Caenorhabditis elegans: one gene and its partner. The protein of the gene in region 1 interacts with the protein of each later gene in a biochemical or structural test. Each region holds a gene or a part of one and is shown in the gene's direction. Other genes may lie near its edges.

What was found. The genes of interacting proteins can lie anywhere in the genome.
Region 2: the proteins of flp-8 (region 1) and npr-39 interact in a test that uses a peptide from one of them, tested with the Caenorhabditis elegans proteins (one large-scale study listed by BioGRID).

What each region holds. Positions count from the first base shown.
Region 1 is NC_003284.9:14,877,832-14,883,507, forward strand, and holds flp-8 (FMRF-Like Peptide), read left to right. Parts: upstream 1-3,587; 5' UTR 3,588-3,706; coding exon 3,707-3,829; intron 3,830-3,898; coding exon 3,899-4,032; intron 4,033-4,085; coding exon 4,086-4,236; downstream 4,237-5,676. Other genes in the region: sssh-1 (UPAR/Ly6 domain-containing protein qvr), read left to right, coding at 505-589, 643-726, 785-888.
Region 2 is NC_003283.11:10,064,203-10,070,451, forward strand, and holds npr-39 (G-protein coupled receptors family 1 profile domain-containing protein), read left to right. Parts: upstream 1-2,866; 5' UTR 2,867-2,884; coding exon 2,885-3,040; intron 3,041-3,089; coding exon 3,090-3,156; intron 3,157-3,226; coding exon 3,227-3,355; intron 3,356-3,405; coding exon 3,406-3,496; intron 3,497-3,731; coding exon 3,732-4,229; intron 4,230-4,274; coding exon 4,275-4,376; intron 4,377-4,421; coding exon 4,422-4,569; 3' UTR 4,570-5,166; downstream 5,167-6,249. Other genes in the region: fipr-13 (FIP (Fungus-Induced Protein) Related), read left to right, coding at 372-385, 434-656; nhr-192 (Nuclear receptor domain-containing protein), read right to left, coding at 5,167-5,417, 5,477-5,729, 5,775-5,885, 5,928-6,249.

The sequences.
Region 1 (5,676 bases):
AGGTTTGCCTAGGGTAGGCTAGGGCTGCTTAGGGTTGCCTAGGGTAGCCCTCCGCCTCCCGCATCTCTCTAGGGTCTGGGGTAGGGCTGTCTAGGGTAGGCTGGGGTCTGGGTAAGGGCTGTCTAGAGTAGGCTGGGGTCTGGGTAAGGGCTGTCTAGGGTAGGCTAGGGTCTGGGGTAGGGCTGTCTAGGCTATGGGATAGGGCTGTCTAGGGTCGGCTGGGGTAGTGCCTTCTAGGGTAGGCTAGGGTCTGGGGTAGGGTTGTCTAGGCTCTGGGCAGGACTGTCTAGGGTAGGCTAGTTTTATTGTTTAATTGCTTTCAGTACGTTTTTTTGTTTCTGTTATCAAGTGAATTGTTTTTACTTACTTGATAACCCACAAAATTAGTGAAAATCTTGCTGAATGAACAAAAAAATCTGAAATTGATAAAGTTAGCCGCATTAGCCGAATTTCAGCCGACCGGCTAACTCGGCTAATATTTCTCTAAAATGAGCAGTTTTCCAGGTTGATCAAGCTCTTCGTGATGGAGTTCGCAGCAATGAGTGCTCAAATGGAGTCTGCATGAAAATGATTTTCCAGGAAAAAAGCGGTGAGATAGATCAAAATTAATTGTTTATTTTATTTTCTTTTTACTTATTTTAGGAATCAATCATGTTTGGAGAAGTTGCATACCAAATGCAAAAGAACAAATCCGATCAGACTGTACAAAAATTACTAGTGGAGAAGGTATGTAATATTCAAATTGTTCCATATAATAAAAAAAAAATATATATATAACTTTCAGGAAACCTTGAAGTTTGCACATGCGATGGTAATTTATGCAACAATGACGTCAATTTAAATCTAATACTAATAATTATGTTTTCTGCAGCTGTGTTATTATTATGATGAGTTGTTCATTAAACCTACATATCGGAATCAAATCAAACTTAGATCTCTATTCTTTTCATTTTCCATCGGTTTTATATAGAACTTTTGCCGAAGTATTTTGATTGCATACCAAATAAATGTTTTTACGTTGTTGGAAATGTTTATTAAAATTTAAAGGAACACAGAATAGCCAAAGTGTTTTTAATTTCCAAATTTTTTTTTACTCCTCGAACAGTACCCTTGAACTTCAGCTCGCTATTTTGAATATTCCTGTCACGAAGTCGGTGAATACAAAGATTCACTCGCTCACGACTTATTAATAAATCTAAGGATTTATTAACAAATGATTAAATGTAAAGATTGATTCATTGTTATTACGTAACACTTGCTCTTCAACACTCAACATCATCTCTTCAATCAACGGCAACAACCATGCAGAAGGACGGCGTCAGAAACCCCGATTCAAACTACCGCCAAAAGGACGATTCAAGGCGCATGAGGTCTCGCCACGACACATACAACAACGACTGCGACCGTACTCTTGTCATCATGGCGCAGCGCACATTGGCCTATATCGTCAGTCTTCATCGGTCTTCACCACCGCAGCACGTGCCCGACGGTGGCACGTTTAAATGAATGTTGAGTGTTAGTGATTCAAGGTTTTCCCCTTGAATCACTCGTAATAAATGAGTTAATTAAATAAGAGTCTTTTGTTAGTTCCTATCAGTACCTCATGGGCCGGAAACCACTCCGAAACAATTCCCATAATTTTATTGTTTTCCATTTTCCAGGAAAAAAAACAGTTCTTTGACATTTTCAAGCCAAAAACTATGTGTGTTCCGTCTTAAGACCATGCATTGGAAATTACGTTCGTCACTATTTTTGTGTGTATGTGTTTTGGATTCCTCTTCTCACATTTGCGGTCACAACAGTATCGTTCATCGGTTTTTATGTTGTGATAAAATAGAGAAAAAGTAAAACGAGCATATTTTTGATAGCGGAAGAAAAATTTTGAGATTACATATAACAAAGCGGAAAGTGATTATCAAATGTCAAATTATCAAATAATTTGGAAGCTTTTCAATTCAATATACAGGGTTGATTTTCAATAGGTGGTGCAAGTAAAAAAGAAATACTGTATTTATATTTAAAGATAAATACATTTTGTTTAAACACGTAAATATTGTTTCAAGCTGGCCGCATATCAAAATAAAACCGTACAAAAACTTTCCAGTTTTTCTTAATTTTCAGTCAAGGTTTTAGTAAAATAGCGAGGCGACGAAAATATATAACTTTCCGAGAAGTTCAGAGCAGTTAATAATTATTATCAACTTTTTACAGAATGGTTTACATTTTTTCAACATTAATTATAGTTAAAGGACAATACATTTTTCAAAATATTCACTGTAAATATGAATGAATACTTTTGGAAAATAATCAAAAAGCTGACTGACTACTGTTAAACAATGGCGGAGTGATAAACTAGCAAATTCACTTATTATGCACATAATTATAATGCAGGATAAGATGACTGACTTTCAAGACATTCACTATTTAATGATTAGACTTCCATTTTTGACCATCCCATTTTGACATAAGAACTCCTTGATATTTTGTTCTCTTTGAAAAGTCTTGTTTTACTCTACTTTAAATGAATTCATTTTCGTCATGGACGATCTCTTCAAAAAGTATGTGGGCACCTTTACTTTGAATACACGCAATCTTCACCGTAGTTTCATGTTGCTCGAATGAATATTCAATGATTGGAGGGCAAGATTTATGAAGAGATTGCCGTGAAATCATTTTGCGAGGCGAATCATCGAGGAAGCAACTGATTCGTGATGAATAATTTGCGCGGTGGATAAGTTTTTGGTTTCAAAGTACCCCCCCCCCCCCCCCCCGAGAAGAGGTGGAAAAAAGTTGAAGAATTAGATGAAGGAGAAGTCCAAGTGTTACGTCAACAATTTACAAATGCATAGAGTTGGTATAATTAGTTTCGGAGGGTGTCGGTGGCTAAATTTATCTGTTAGTTACCTCCCAGCATGAATTCCGTGTATTCACTGTGTTCAGTCCCTCGACTGCTCGGTTATACAGCTGATAGATAGACGAGGAAGAAGAAAACACACAAAAACGTAAAGTGGGCCTCTTTAAAAAAATTTAAAAAACAAAATAAGGACACAAAAATATAAATATGCATTGTTTTCATTTTTCAAAACGAGGGTAGCTTCGAGAAATTTCCATTTTCAAATCAAACGAATTGCTACAACAATGTCAAAATGTTAAAATTTTTCTTGGTGGTACTGTATGACTCTAAAGTTTGATCTGGAAAAATTTGTTTTTTCGTAGATAACGTTTCTTACCTAAAAAGCGGTTTTTAACCTGATAGTTGAGATAACCTGGTTTATACAATAAATTTTCAAATGAGATAATTTTTAATAACTTTAAAAAAAAATTTTTTTATATCGTTGGTTTTCGAAACTTGATTTTCAGCAAATTTTTAAAATTTGAATCAACTTGCTCTCAAAGACACGTTTATTGTCTTACGACTTTTAAAACCGGAGTAAATTTAATTTTTCGATGAATCAATTTCAGATAAATCTCAGAACAAGCACTTTACTGTTTCTTACTTGTTTTATGCAATTTACCATTTCAAGTTTTCTATGCCCCCGCGTTCTTTTACCAAACGCCTTCCAGTGGACACTCTAGAATTTCTTCAGCACAAGAAGGCGTGGCCTCTGAAAAGGCGGAGCAAAGTGCGCGGAGCCCAAGTTAGTGGAGAAGACGGACCAGTATATAAGCCACGAGCAGTGCTCAGTCCACACTTTTCAAGTAGAAAATGCTCTCCGGAGTCCTTTTTTCTATTTTTGTACTCGCCATATCGGCCAACGCTAGCTGTGATGTGTCCGCACTGACCACCGAGAATGAGAAGGAACTCGGACTCCGGATTTGCCATCTTGAGGTATGTTGATCATTTTTTTTAGTTTCCAAAGTGGTTTTTTATTCCTGTAAAATCTAAAATGTTTTGCAGGCGGAGATGCAAGTCGTCCAAAGAGCCTTGCAGGAGGTGATGCAGCAGACAGATGTCACACTGTACGATCAAGAAGTTCCGGTGATGAACAAGCGTAAAAACGAGTTTATCCGATTTGGAAAACGCAGTGACGGGTTAGTACATATTTGGTATTTGTCGGTCATTTCAAATATCATTTCTTTCTCAGAATGGAAAAACGAAAGAACGAGTTCATCCGGTTTGGAAAGAGAAAAAATGAGTTCATCCGATTCGGAAGATCCGATAAGGGACTTGGACTCGACGACAACGACGTTTCCAGTGAGTTTTTCGGTTACACCTCTGATGTATTTTATCTGTAAGTGGTTTTGCAGTGGAGAAACGAAAGAACGAATTCATTCGATTCGGGTGATTCGCGTTCAGAGATGGATGTGTGCTTCTTGATGATTTGGGCCAAATTGTGTTCTATACTGATAATGTTTTGTTAGATTTCTTATTCTCCATGCTAATTTTTTTTCTTTTATCTCTGCAAAACGTCAGTTAGAATAAACTTTCATTGTTTTTCTGGTTTTTTTTTCTTTTTTTTTCCATCTTATCTCAATTTTCACAAGACTTGGATATTCACAGGCTTGATGTATGAATTGCATAATATGTCCCAGCCGAATGACCAAATCCGTTTTTTTTCTTTGTATGACCACTCATCGTATTCAAATTTGCTTACAAGTACGCATGATCCCCCTGCGGGCGCGCGCATCAAACAGACGTAAGACCGGTTTTCGAGGAAAAACTGTGTATATCTTTCTATCCGAAATCCTGTGTCATTGAAATATTTCACAATTTGGATACAATTTTCTCGGCCCAAACATGTTGTATAGTCAGTGAGAAGAAGAAAAGTAAATTTTTTGTTGAAATGAGACAACATATTTCATGTTTCGCTAGGCTACGAGAACGTGGGACACTTGTGATTTTTTTTTGCTTGACAAATGATGGGGCCAAGCGATTTCAAGAAGTCTAAACAAGATAATTTTGGCGTCATAGTTTTTGATAGAAGATTTTTTGAAAATTAGAATCAAGATGGTTCTATTGCAGTACATTCAAAAATAGGAGTGGGCTTCAGCCGAGTTTCACGATTGATAGTTCAAGAATTTTCTCTAAATTAAAACACATAACTATACTTTCAGTTCCCACTAAACTGAAATTCTCAATGCTTCAAAACTGCTTACCGTTTTCTACTAAGTTCTTGATAGCTCAGTCGGTAGTGGTGGTCGCTAGCAATCTGGAGGTCACGAGTTCAAGTCCGGCCTCACTCCCTAGGTTCACCCAGCCTCCATTGGCAAGGTGAGCAATCCATAACTGGATTTTCCGCCACAGTCTCCGGCTAGGACGTGGCTTAAATTATAGCCCAGTAGGAGCACCATCAGGCAGTGTACCTGGCTCCTAGATCCGCAGTGCATCGCACTTGAAGAAGGGATCGTCTTTTAATCCTTTAATCCTTTTTTATACCTTAAAACTTTATTTTTACTATCTGCAAAGTAAGTTCATCTCAGATTTTCTAATTAAAAAACCCCTGCTTCGTTGTCGTAATAATGCGTCATCTCAAAGTTATTGAAATTCCGCCACTTTTCTTCTGGATCTCACTTTCCACGGATAAAAAAGAAAGCCGAAACTTTCTTATTCTCATGCCTCGTCACCTCCGAAACTAGTCCGATGACTCAATAATTCGGTGAAGAATGGCTTGCCATAATAAAAAAAAATTGGGCGATATAGTCAACGGCAAAATTTAAATTCAAGGTGTATACTTT
Region 2 (6,249 bases), on another chromosome or scaffold:
CAGTTCTCTTGCTGTCTTTGTTTTTGTTGGATGAATAACAAAAAACAATAGAACGTCGCTATCTTATTAATTAAAAATTGTTCTACTGGAATCAAATTTTCAGAAGAAAAAATCTGGTCACTCTTGAGAATGGAGGAGAATTTTTTGATTACGTTTGAAAACTAAATCAACAAGAAAACCAGTTCTGCTGGCATTTGTTTCTGGAAAAGTAAAAGGCAAATAGATTAATTTTGACAGTTTTCACTTTTGTTTTGGCTGGAAAAAAGAGTAAATAAATAAGGAAATGTAGTATAAAACGAAATAGAAATTTAGTTTATTTCATTAAAACTTTCTGAACTAATTCACCTAATTCACTCTAAGAACTCTGAAAAATGAATGCCAAACTGTAAGTAGATCAAATTCAATTTCCGATTATTGATTAGAACTTTTCCAGTTTAATCCTGATCTTTACCATTTTGACCATTACCTCTGGTCAGTATTACGGTGGCTACCCAACCGCTAGTGGTTACTACGGTAACGGAGTGTACGGCGGAGGGTATGGAAACGTTGGATATGGTGGATATGGGTATCCTGGTCAATATTATGGAGGATATGAATATGGAAGTCCATATGGATATGTTGGAAAACGAAGCAGTGGATTCGGTCCCAAAAATTGAAAATTAACTCAATCTCCTTCTATTTTTCTCATGTTTTTTGCGGTATACGTTATTTAATTTTACACAAATAAATTTTAACTGTAAGCTTCATCAGAGCACAAAAATTTTTATTGAAAAAAAATTGGGGTTCCGTTTGAAAAAAAGACTAGTTGGGAATTTTGTCAGAAATGTTAAACTTTTTAAAAAGTAAAAAAAAAAAACAATAGTATATAGACGGTGACCTCATTAATATTAATGCCACTCTCAGAATTTGCTCTTCTCTAGTTTTTCCCAATTTGTTATGATAGGAACGCCCATTATAGCCAAAATTAATTTTTAGATTCTGCATCCTACTCCTTTGGAGTTTTTCGAATATTTATTTTTTTCACACTGCAACAACAAGAAAAAATGTTGCATAAGTTTTCCAAATCTACATCATCATTTTTTTTCCCGACGCTCTCTGCTAAATTTTCCATCGTGAATTATGTTTCAAACCAAATGGGAACATCATTTATTCATTTTGAATGACTCTTTTTTATTGAGGAAATGTGAAAAATCATTTGGTTTGACCGACTGAACAATGCGTCAATTGCACCTGAATTTTGATTCACAAGTTGGTTAAATGCCAGACTTTTTTTTGAAATGTCCTGTTATCAAGCAGCTGAAAAACGTCTTCCCGGAGTACTCTCTAAATTCCTAAAAATGGAGGTTTTCATCAAACATTTTAAATATAGACATTAATGCCATTTTTTAGGATTAAAAAGACAATTAATACCCAGTTTGAAAACTTTTTTATTCAAAGACGTTGCGCCTTTGATTTCTCGTCTCTAGAAATTTTCGAAAGTATAATTTGTCAAAAATTCATAACTCTTTCGTCAACTACATTCTCACTTTCATTTCCTTAAATTATTCTGTCACGAATTTTCTTCATTTTTTGATCCAACTCATTCTCATTCTTGATCTTCTAACTTCATGATCCCACTGATCTGACCTATTTTCCCTATTTCCCAATCCCACATGTTTTTGATACAAACGTAATTTATTTCAATCTGTTCCATCTGGCTCTAAACGTTTCTAGGTTTCTATAAGAGATATTTCATTGTGACCGCGATCAAAATTCCTCACTTTTTTCAGTGCTTAGTTTTCGACGGAAATCTTATGCTTATCGGATTTTGTAACAACTATTCCAATAAATCTTTGAGATATAATCTTGTCATGATAGCTGACTATATTCCTCCCGCGCTTATTTAAAATAATTGCAGATCCCTATTTAAATCAAATATTTTTATATATCTAAAAAGGAAACATTTTTTATTTCGAAGAAAAACTTCTCTAAAAACTGTTTGAAATGTTTTCTCGCGTCACGATAATTTATTGAATTAATTTTATAGAATGCAGCCAATATCATTTTGGTTCATGAAACTGAAATCATCACCCGAAACTCAAATAATTTATGAAAACGGGGTTTTTCAAGACCACCTCCGTCATTTATGGTTACTTTTGAGGTTTGGGTGCCTCAGTTTTCAGAGTCAATTATTAAAATCACCTGTATCTATGATCATTAGCAAACCAAGTGGTGTTCATTTTATCGTTCCTTGTTTTTATTCAATCAAATGTCATACCTATACGGCAATCAAAAAAATGTATTGCTGAACACAATGTTTTTTAAAAGTAACCTTTACATGATCATTGTCGAGATTTCAAAAACTCCATAATTTCATTTAAAAATTTGAGTTTCTAACAACTTTCATAGAATAGTAAAGTGTGTTATGATCCCACCTTGCATATAAAACTTATTTCCTTCTTTGAATATTCCTGGAACTCCCGAATGCTTGTTTAAACTTTCAGCCGCTATGAAATCACTTTTGCTTCCGCCACTACAGTATGATTTTGTTTTTACTTCTGCTTATACATCCTATGATTCCTGCTCATTATATTGACGAATGCTTTCCGGATCTCTTGACATATGAACACTTTCTGCTTGACAGAAGTTTTGTAGGCGGGGCATAATGTTTTATGGATCACGATCCGATTTGAATCGGATTGACGTTTGCAAAAGTGATAGATGTACAGAGCTTCATGGATTATGAAACTTCCATTTCATTCTGATCGTCTTATAATTTTTATCCAAATCTCTGATATCATCCAGTTCTCTGACGCCTATTTTCAGGATTGTTTGAACTCAACTTACTTTAAAAGCACTTTGTTTTATCTATTTTCATCTAACTTCTCCACGTTTCAGATTCAAAATGAGTACGATTTCACCAGATATTGTGACGAACTCTACAGAAGAAGTAGCAGAATGTTCACGAAATGAAACTTATGACTTTAATCGATACGCACTTATTGTATACGTTGGAACTCCGATTGCAGTTGCTGGAGTTATTTGCAATTGGATACTATTTGTGAGTTTTTGAATTTCATTTCATCAATGTTGTAATTTTCAAATTTTAGAGACTATTCACCAAGTCAAAGTCGACGAAATCACCAGCCTTATACTTACTTCTTTTAGCAGTGCTAGGTGAGTATTTGAGAATATTTTTTCTACTAAATATTACTTTTTAAACTTTTCTATATTTTCAAATTTTCAGATCTTTTAATGGATCTCCTCTACATTCCCTTTTTCACAGTTGACGCATTAGCAATCTACCACAAAAATGAGTTTCTCTATCATATTTGGCATGATTATGCAATGTTTGTATTTGGACTGAGTAGGCTTGGTAAGAATAAAGATTAAAGTAGTCAAAAGAACGAAATAGCCTATTTTCAGTCCAATTTGCATCAACTTACATAATTCTGTGTGCTACTATTGAGCGATTTATTGTGGTGGCCGAGATAAACTCACTCGATTTTTTAATCTCGTAAGTGAAATACTCAGTACCCATACTTTTTTTCAATTTTCTTTCTTTACGACTTCGAAGAGAGTCAAAACAGTTTCTCCGGTGAATAAGAATCCATTCTAAAAAATTGCGAGAAAAACTAGGAAAACCCCCTGCGGTGAAACTATTTGATTTAGTGCACCTTCCTCTATTTTGATATCAGTAAACTTTAGTTTTAAATGCCTATACTTTTTATATCCTAACCTTTTACTTTCAGGTCAACAGGCCGATTTGTCACTATTGGAATCACCTTCCTAGGTGTTGCAATTCTGAGGCTCCCAGCATTTTTTGAGTATTTCATCACATACCGTCCCGATTGCCCTCTTTATGAAAACTACGACTATACACCCATTCTTGCCAGTTGGGAACATTATCAAATGTTCAATTTTTATGTGATGACGGTTCTTCACATTTTCGTACCATTTGCTCTTCTACTGATGCTCAATATTTCCATTGTCGTTGTTACGAAAAGGAAATTGACTGGAATTGGATGGGCGGTCACAACATTTATTGATATGCCAAAAGTTAGTGAGATGATTCGAAAAGAGTCTATCAATTCAAACAAGAGGCGAAGAGATGAGCTACGGTATGCTACATGGACAATGGTTTCAATTGCAACAACTTACCTTTGTTGTTCGTCTCTTTCCTTGTTTATAGGAATATTGGAAAATGTTTGGCCGGAAAACACACTTCTTTTCCAGGAAGATGGATCGAGGTAAAATTATTGTTGAAATAAATGTTTTAAATTAAAACATTTCAGTACGAAATTTTACACTTTCGCATCAGACGCTGTCAGTATTTTGGTTGCAGTCAACTCACTTCTTCGAATTGTTGTGTACTCACTTTGCAGCCCCAATTTTAGGTAATTGTCCTATCATCACTATGATATAAACATTATATTTTTCAGAAAACAATTAGTGAAAGAATATCCTTGTTTGAAATGTCTCACCTGTGGAAGTGACGGAGATGAAAAAGCGAAAAAAATCAAGGAAGAGAAGAAACTATTTATTGGATATCAGAATTTGATAATGGGTGCCAGGGTGGATATGCTGTGATTAATTAATTTTTATTAAAATAGAAATTATATAAATTAAAAGCGGGTTAAAGTGTGAAAATAAACATGTTCATTTTTAAAAACTGATTTTCCAAATATTTATTTCAGGAAAAATAGCAATTACTGAGTTTTTGTCACTTTTTGAGAAAATTATAGCACTTACGGATGTTTGAATCCCTACAATGTTTGAATAATAAAGCCCACCTTCATGCAAAAACTAAAAGTATGTGAGATTAGATTATATCATCGACGCTTCACCATAACCCGTTGTACTTTGTAACACCCTTATAATTATCATTTGAAGTTGTGTGTATGTAAAAACTTGTGATAGACTAAACACAAACCAGAAGTATTTTTTATAGATCGAGAGTCTAACATTTCAAATTTTACGAAAACATTCAGATTTTGAATAAAATTAGAAACATGTTTACTGTTTCGATTCGATTTTTGATTTCAGTAAGTCCTGAAAATTTTGTTTAGATTTTATTCAGAAATCGGAATATAACTTAAATATGGATTGTATGACAGGAAAAATTGGAAAATATGACATATACAAAAAGTTCGAACAAATTATTACCTATTCACGATAAAATTTATTTTAAAAGTGGAAAGTTTCTCGAACCAGCTTCTTAAAATCAAAATCAGGAGAATGAACGTTAAATATCAAGAAGAAGTTTTCCATCTCTTGTGAATTCTTAGTTATTGTAAGATATAACGATATAAAGTTCGAAAACCTTTCTGGAGCCGTTTGTTCATTATTCCGTTGACAAAGTGTAAAAAGAGCATTGCTGTAGATATTTTGTTGCCTTGATAGTTTTACGACTGCATCCTCTGATATTTCTGGGATCGCTGAAAAAACTACTATTTATGTACAGAAAATAATACTGCTTATCAAAAAACATTCTCACCCGGATTACAGAAGAATAGCAAGTTCATCAAACAGTACTCCTCATCTGTCACTTCCCACTCAAGAAGCTTATCTAATGGTTGGCAGCATATCCTGTGTAAGGTGCTTTTTGACTTTTCGTATAATTGCAAGATAACATCTGGATATATTTCTTGTCCCCCTGGATTCATCATTTTTGATCGTTTTTCATTGACAGTTCTCATGACTCCACAAAAATATGTTAACTTCAAAATCGTATGTTGGAAAATAATTTTCTTAAATACATCAACTATATGCGGCAGCTTTTCAAGTTTACAAACCTTGTCAATATCATGTAGCTCATTTACAAAGTCGAAGTTCAAAAAGTATGAGATGTGAGAATAAATTGCCAAAAAAGCCCATTCTTCTGGAGTTACTTCATAGTTAGGGCCCTAAATGTTGAATAAAATTGAGAATCGATCACTATCACTTACTTGGTTTATACTTGTCACCACTCCTGGATTTTCTAAAATTTCCGCTAAACTTGGGTTATCAAATGAGTAAAATGTTTTAAGTTTATGTTGGCGACTTGAATCCATGATAAGTAAGTTTTGTAGTAAAGTCGTTAACTCGTCTACTTTTTGATTCCCATTTTCAAATTCCACAATATTTTCGTGAACTTCTAAATACATTCCAGCATCCAAGCATCTTTGAAATCTACATGATTGACACTTTAGAGGATAAGGTGATGTTTCAAAGCAGTTGTTGGACCATTTGCAGTTATAAACCAGTTTTTGTACACTCATGCGACGAAAA